Nothobranchius furzeri: one gene and its partner. The protein of the gene in region 1 interacts with the protein of each later gene in a biochemical or structural test. Links are inferred from orthologs where the notes say so. Each region holds a gene or a part of one and is shown on either strand. Other genes may lie near its edges.

The links. The genes of interacting proteins can lie anywhere in the genome.
Region 2: of the proteins of uba1 (region 1) and ube2d4, one has a biochemical effect on the other in vitro, tested with the Homo sapiens proteins (4 studies listed by BioGRID). The link is inferred for Nothobranchius furzeri from reciprocal best matches to the Homo sapiens genes UBA1 and UBE2D4.

What each region holds. Positions count from the first base shown.
Region 1 is NC_091755.1:24,209,608-24,213,464, forward strand, and holds part of uba1 (ubiquitin-like modifier-activating enzyme 1), read right to left. Parts: coding exon 3,749-3,857; intron 3,605-3,748; coding exon 3,408-3,604; intron 3,333-3,407; coding exon 3,268-3,332; intron 3,069-3,267; coding exon 2,873-3,068; intron 2,629-2,872; coding exon 2,554-2,628; intron 2,465-2,553; coding exon 2,275-2,464; intron 2,189-2,274; coding exon 2,103-2,188; intron 859-2,102; coding exon 766-858; intron 680-765; coding exon 488-679; intron 441-487; exon of another isoform or gene 320-440; intron 209-319; coding exon 107-208; intron 26-106; coding exon 1-25. UniProt on the Homo sapiens protein: Catalyzes the first step in ubiquitin conjugation to mark cellular proteins for degradation through the ubiquitin-proteasome system.
Region 2 is NC_091757.1:38,230,605-38,234,650, reverse strand, and holds the start of ube2d4 (ubiquitin-conjugating enzyme E2 D4), read right to left. Parts: upstream 2,801-4,046; 5' UTR 2,534-2,800; coding exon 2,510-2,533; intron 1-2,509. UniProt on the Homo sapiens protein: Accepts ubiquitin from the E1 complex and catalyzes its covalent attachment to other proteins. In vitro able to promote polyubiquitination using all 7 ubiquitin Lys residues, but may prefer 'Lys-11' and 'Lys-48'-linked polyubiquitination.

The DNA of each region.
Region 1 (3,857 bases):
TGGTGATCTCCAACTTATGCTCGTTCTGGAAAATATGAAAGGACAATCATTAAACTTTTTCAGAAATCAAAATAAAAAAGAGGCAACATGAAAAACTAAAACATACTTTAAAGTAGTCCAAAAACTGTCGGAGTGTCATTTCTTCCCCGTTAGGCTGCAGCCCTGTGACCTCAAAGCGATCCCAGAGCGTCCAGTCGATCTCGTAGTACTGTTAAAAAAGACACAGGTCATCAGGAGCTGCTTGAAATTTCAACACAAACATTTAGACGTTCATAATTTCTGCAATGAATGAAGAGCAGGCTTGTTAAGTTAATCAGTTTCTCCTCAGCACACACTGATACCATCAGCGTGAGAAGGTGAGTTGCACTCATGTACACCCAGACAGACGTCGTGCACCTGCCTGGTGCATCAGTATTAGCATGGCTGGATCATCACCGGAGTCCTAACTTCCCAACACTTTAAAAGAAAGCACAGCAGGTGCACTCACCTTATGTTTGGGAGCAGCGATGGGCTCAGAGAAGCCGAAGAAAGGCAGAGCCAGGTTCATGAACCCGTTTTTGTATGACTCCAGCTTTTTGTGACCTTGGACAATCTTGATGAGCTCCAAGCACACCAGGCCGACCACCGCGGATGTGGTGGTGGCAATAGCAGGAATGATTTTGCCAGCAATCAGTTTGCTCTGGAAGCAGCAGAAGAGATTAGATTAAGGATAAGAAGATAGTTTATAGGGAGAGTGGAGTTTAAACTGCATCAGCCGCTCCTCACCTTGTGTCTGTCAGCAGGTGGAATGTCGTAGTTCTCTGCCCTCAGGTTAGAGGCTGCTACAATGAAGTCCATGTGGAAATTTGTATCGTCGTCCTGTTAAAACAAACCCATGTTCATAAACTAGAGGTGCTGAAAAAAAATCGATTCAAGTCTGAATTGGGATTCTTATTTATAAAGATTCAGAATCGACCCCAAGAACTCAAATGTTTGGCATGTTACAGGTTTGAGATGCACTTTTGTCTGTTTTTTTTTTTAAATCTTTGTTAGGAGAGTTAGTACTCTGTTTACTTTTGTGGTCCCATAAATTGAGATGATTTCTTTTTGAATCTGCTGATAAGTGGGCACTTGAATGTAATTTTTCCATACTAATTAATTTGAGATATTTTCATATTTATTTTCTAAGTTGATAAGTGAGGGCTCAGGATTACTCATGTATTTATTTGAAGTTATTGATAAATGAGAGAACACATTTTCCTTTGTAAGAAATCTAAGGCACTTTTTTAAAACAGGTTGAGGATTCAAATGTTTCCACACATACTTGAAAAGTATTTGACCGTATTACTTTCAAAGCTACTGTCAGGTAACTAAAGATGTGTTATATTTTACAAGGTAAGCAAAAATAAATGTTGCCTTTTAGTCAAAAGATTGCTTCCGTTTACGGTTTTAGAATCACTTTAGTTTACCTTGTAAATTTGCATTTTTTGAGCATGACCAGTTTAAAGTAAAATAAAAATGTCCATAGCTTTAACTAACTTGTACCACAAAGTATTTAATCCTAGAACTGACACTCTTTGTTAGCATTGATTGTGAATTGGTTTAAATCGAGAATCGATTCTGAATCGAACAGACACCCAGAGAATCTAAATCGAATCAAATCTTGAGTTGCTCTAAGATTCATATCCCTATCATACACACACCGGAGCTGAAGGTAATGGCACTTATTCTGATGAGACATTGGCTCTGTTCACTCAGGGAGCCAATAATTACTGTCAATTGTTTTAATTTCCATTTTGAAAGAATCATAATCCTACAGATTAAGTCCTAATATTTTAATCTAATTAATCTGGTTAAAAACAGAACTCAAGACATCAGTAAAGGCAGGATTTGTTTACATAACTGTGACAGCAAAGGGATGCAAATATTTGTAACGTGCCAATAACAGTCTAAAACAACATTTGCATAACCGCTACAGCACACGTCTGAGTACAGAGCACCTTTAACAATAAACTCATTTAGAAGGAAACTTTATTTTAGACTTATTCTCACTTGTAAACCAAGCATTAAACCACACAATAAACAATCCCACTCTAAGCCCAAAGCAGAGAAACACAACGTACCTTTTCAAAGTCAATGGCATTGAGTTTGAACTGGAAAGCCTCAGGCAAAGGCAACTGGGACTTCAGTTCTTCCAGTTTGGAGTCATCTGTACATCGAGAGATTGATGGTTACGTCACTCCCAGATGAATGGTGTAGAGTCAGTGACTTTAAACTTTTCCACATTGGTCTTACCAACAGAGGAATTACTGTTTTGCAGCTCCTGATCAGACACGTGGATTTTTACGCCCGAGCGAGGAGAAAAAATCGGCACCTTAACATCCTGCAAGATCTTGACCACTCCGGCACGGTCGGTGCTGCCTGGCAGGCCGTACGTCTGAGCAAACAGGTTAGCTCCCGCCACGACGTAATCCATGTGAAGCTCCTAAGACCCAACACCATGAATTCTTGATGTGATACAGATATGCTGCAGAGTTATGTTCATTCCTGAAGATCACTAGAAAACACACTTACGTTGCTAGTGCTGAATTCTAAGGGGTGAGGACATCTCTTTGGGCCAGACCAGAAGGGGGCACCTGAGCTCGTGAGCTGGAAGAGATTATGGCTGTTAAGACACAACATTCTAAAATGTATACAATAAATACTGGTGAAGAATTGAGCTAAAAAGGCAGCTGATGTATTAACAATGGTTTATAACATATTAACTGTAGGTGAAGAGTGGCACAAGGTCCATCAGAGGATGGGGACAATCTGGACTCAAACTTCTAACTCAACTTTTCTCCGGCTACAGAAAAAAGTCTGAAGCTAATCCAGACATGACACCAGTATTTACCTGCTGTGGGGGGAAATTGTGCAGTAACTGACGAATGTTGTTGCTGTATTGGCACTGCCAGTGGTTGCGAGCCCAGGCGACGCAGTCAGCCCAGCTGTGGGGACAGTCTGTGACCAGGGTCTTGTACACGGCCTCCAGCACCTCCACAGGTTGAGCTCCAGGGAGTTTTAGAGTGCGCTCCATAAACTTAGGATCTCTGCAAGGTTTACAAGCATAACAGCGGTCATTTTGCATTTTCTCATGACTGTTTAACCAAAGTCAAATCTTACTAGCAGACCTTTTAGCTAATACTTTTAGATATGCTGCTCTGACCACAAACTCCAAAGACACTCAACATCACACAGTAGCTATAACCCAAAAAGTATGACAGACACTCCACAGAGGAAGTAACTTACGTGAGGTACTGCATAGCATTTTCTGGAGACTGTTTGAAAAGTCCCTCGAACTCATCCCGGGCCCACTGAACAGAGAAGAAACAAAGATCAGCCACCAAGTCCACTCATGTTGGAGTTTGCATCATTGAGCTCCTGCTGACCTGCAGTGTGTGCTCGATGGCATTTGGGAAGTTTTTCAAAGTACAGATGGGGATGGACTTCTCAGGGGGGTCTTGGCTGGAGCTGTAGGACTCTGTGAGGAAGGGGATGACGACCTGGACATTGCCTTTGGTACCCAAAGTGCCTGACTCCAACAGGGGTTTACGGTAGTACACACACCTCCGATCCATGTACATGCCTTAGTGTAAGGAATACAAGCAAAGCAACGGAGGTGTAAACACAAACAAGCAGCTATAAAAAGATGGTTTGTAACAGAAAAAAAGCCAAACTGCATTCCTTCATCAGCGTGCGCATGTTTTAAGCAATTTAAAGTTCATCTTACGTGCATCAACATTGTCTAGTGCATTGGCGACGCCATCGAGGCTCTCAAAGAAGTCATCATCGTAGACCTTCTCCGTGTCGGGGCCCACTCGGTTCTGATGGCCTGTGAT
Region 2 (4,046 bases), on another chromosome or scaffold:
CTCCGCCAAATACCGAAGAACTGGAACAATGTCCGTCTGCTACTAGATTCTTTGCCTGTTTTGCCCGCCTTCATCTCCCGGCAACGGACAACAACTTCTGGGATCAAATGCGCTGCTTCGTGTCTACCGCAGATGTAGAAAATCACCGGGAGAGTTTCTCCCTTCATAAAGGAGCTTCTTTCAGACATTAGGAGAGCTGTTTTTGTGGTAGCAGTCTCTCCTCCATGCTGGTCTGTTTGCTGCTGGGTATTTTTGGTTTATTTAAACTTGGTAACTTGAACTTAATGTTGGTAAAGCTACTGTTAGCATTTTCGCTAACAGCTTCTTGCGATAGGATAAGCTGTTACGATTTGGTTTAGAGTTCATCTTTTTTGTGGCGTAGATCTCCCTTTTATTACATTTAGAGTGTCGTGGGTTTTCGGTTTAGTTTAAAATTTCACCTTGAGTTTGGTTTAACCACCCAGTTTAGAGTTTGGACCTTTGGAGATTCTTATTTTGGTCCAGAACCCAGTAATCTTTGCCCTGCGGGACATCCCTAGTTATTTGTACTTTTGTTTTAATTCCCCACAGGCAGAATTAGTTTTATTATTCCCAACCTGTGGATGGAAAGATTTATGGTTTTTTGTTGTTGTTGTAAATAAACCTGATCATCATTTTAACTTTTAAATCCTGTGTTATTGTCCCTTCCTTTTTGCACACGAGCCAAACTCCCCAGGAAGGGTCGTAACACCACTCGCCTCACGCACATAAGTGACCAAAACAAAGCAGCATGGAGACACCGTCTCCAACCACCCCTCAGGCAGCAGCCTGCACTCCCAAGTCCTACATCACCATTCTTTGACTTGCTCTTTAAAACACTTTTGCAGAATTTCATGCTTTTACTACAAAATGTGCCTTTTCAGTTTCTCAAGTTCATATATTAGGGAAAAAAAGACAACAGCTTGTGTAAGTAACAGTTACAAATTAAATGCTGCAATAAACATACAGCAGGGTTCATTTATGTGAACATATCTGTTAAAGCAAGCACTGTAACATCTGCGGTTTAAAGATATGGAGAGGTATTTGTCAGAGCTGCAAAGTTTTATATTCATTTATACATTCCTACAACAACTTGTGGTTGAAGTTCCTGCAAAACAATGTATTTAACACTAGGGCTGCACAATATTAGGAAAACCTACGATGCACAATTACAGTGATTATTTTTGCGATGATTATATGACTTGCAATACATAAATAGTAACTCAAGAACAAAAAAAATGTATCAAAAACCAAATCATAAAAATAAAATAAAGACTCAGGGGATCCCAGGAAAAGAATAGTCGGCAGAAAGAGCAGAACACAGCTAACTCTGGTGTTTGCTAGCCATCCAAATGAAGTGCTGTCTACCTAGGTGGCGGTATCTAACCTATAAGAACTCACCCAATTGGCCAAACAGGTGAAGGACTATTTGATCAGTCAAAAACGTAATGCTTCAGTTTGACTGACAATATGCTTTATTATGTGTAGAAAAAAATTAAGATGATCCTTTATTGCAGTTTTTTTCTGTTCTTTGCAATATGAGTATTGTGTATGCTGATAGTGTGATGACGATACATTTGCGATGCACAGTGCAGCCCTATTTGCAACACTTTTCCTCTTTTATCTTCAGTACAAATAAAATTCAACTTCAGACATGACATCATTGTGCAACACAAAATGTTGTTTTATAGACATACTTCCAGAAAATAAGGACAAGCTGTTTAGTTTAGCAAACACATAATAACTACAAATATTAAAAATACAACACAAAATGGACAAAAACGAAACTAAATCAAATTAACTCAGTCCACAGCCCAAGTAACCAATCTACATTTGCATCACACACAAAAGCACAGACAGCAAAACACGGTGCTTGAACAGAAATTAAGCCTGTTATTTAACATCTCATGTAAGGAAGCCTATTATATAAATACACACCATGGCCTGTTCCAGTGCCCCATTTGCCATTCCATATATGGCAACACTGACTCTAGGGTTCAGTTTTGGCAACAATCGAGCAGCTGTCATTCAGCGAATTTATACGTCGTCATACATAATTTTACAAGGTAAACTAAAACGATAAATGTGACTGATAAATTAGTGATCAAGAACAAAATCCAGGCAAGGACTACACGTTACAACCGTTAGCAGGAAAGCTAACCTCCCACGAAGTAACAGTAACAACTTCTTACTCCAGAGTCCTTATCAAAGTTTCAGGATTAATATGAAAAATGTCAGACGAGCAGGATGTAATAACCCAAATGAAAGCTTAATTGGGTAGTTACGTTAATGTTAGCCAAGCACAAACCGGGCCACCGTTGGTCAGCTCGCCTTTGTCTTTGAATTATTTTTTAAATGAACAAAACGCTCAACGGCGTAGCTAGTTCACCTCTAAAACACCACACACATGTACTTTATCAAAACGGTTCGAAAAGAGGAAGAAAAATCGAATCTGAATCATGTCTTAAACTTAATAAATATAAACACTCACCTTCTGAATTCTTTTCAACGCCATTGCTTCGGCGGCTATGCTAGGTAGCCTGTCAGCTAACAGTTAGCACCTTAGACATACAATTTGGATTCTGTAGCCGCGTTCTATCAAACCTCACTTCAGTTACAGGTATGAAATTACGTCTAACATCCAGTAAATTTCGGCTTTTTCGCTCTATGACAAATATTTCCCCACGACCTATTAATTTTCGGTTCGTCAGAGAGCTACAAAACAACTTAGATATTTAGCTTTCTATTCCTCTCTCTTCTCGGTGCCGAGAAAACAGTTACTATCGCGAGCTTTCGTTTAAAAACTACAATGGCACTGTCGGTAGTGTCACGATTTCTATTTTAAGGGTCATTTTATTGACTACAGAACAGAGGCTTTAAAAATATACATATTTACTACTCAAGTTTAGATACTAGGGGGTTTAAAGACTTCTGTTGAAGTTGAAGGATCAATTCAAGCATGATACTTGGGTAGAAGTAAAAAGTACAGGTTTCAAAAGTGCTTAGGCTTATCGAAAAAGCGTATAAAAATACTAAGATTGACAAATATGGGATACACTGGGCCCCCAATTCCCTCTTCAGTTCAGTAAAACATTAATGCATTTTAGTGACATGAAAATAGCTACTTACTGCATGTGGGTGATAGATGAATGATTACTTATTTTCTAACCCCAATCAAATTCACTTTATCCAGATGGGCAATTTCGCAATTTTGTCTTTCTGTATTTTGTTTTAACAATGGCAAGCCAAAATTTAGTAGGAGTGATGAGGCTGTTGTTAAAGAGCAAGTCACCCCAAATCAACCTTTTTTTCCCTGATAAACTATATAAATGCGTGTCTAATCATGCTGCAGACACATGCAGTCAATAGTTTTGCACTTTAGTGCAATTTAGTTAAAATTTAAATTTTCTGCCTAAAACTGTCAGTGTTGTGCTGTTGTCGGGTAAAAACTCTGCACTGCATTTGAATTTTAATTAAATTCAGTTCAAAAATACGTTATTAATCCCAGAGGGAAATTGATTGCTGTAGTTGCTCAGAATCTGACACCGCTATTGGCTAAGAGGTACCGTAGGACGTTAGCTGGTACCATATCCAATCCAATCCAATCCAATTTTATTTATAAAGCGCATTCACAAGGCATTACAACCAAACAAGGCGCTGTACACTAAAAATGTTGGTTAATTAAACAGGCGTTATATAAACATGTCGAACACAGATAAAAGATAAAAAGGAAATACAACAAAATTCCCAAAAATAACAGCTAAAAATCAATAAGACACAGGGTGAAGTAAAAATAGGAAAAAACATTTTACAAAGAACCTCAATAATACGGAAGTCGATAATTGTGGAGTCAGTTTATAAACAGTGCAGATGTCAGTGAGGTTCATAATTATGTTGTATAAGCTAGGTTGAAGTAGTGAGTTTTCAGGCGTGATTTAAAAATGCTAGCTGTTGGTGCTAGCCTCACTAGCAGTGGTAATGCGTTCCACAGCTTCGGTGCACAGACAGAGAAAGCCCTCTCTCCACGG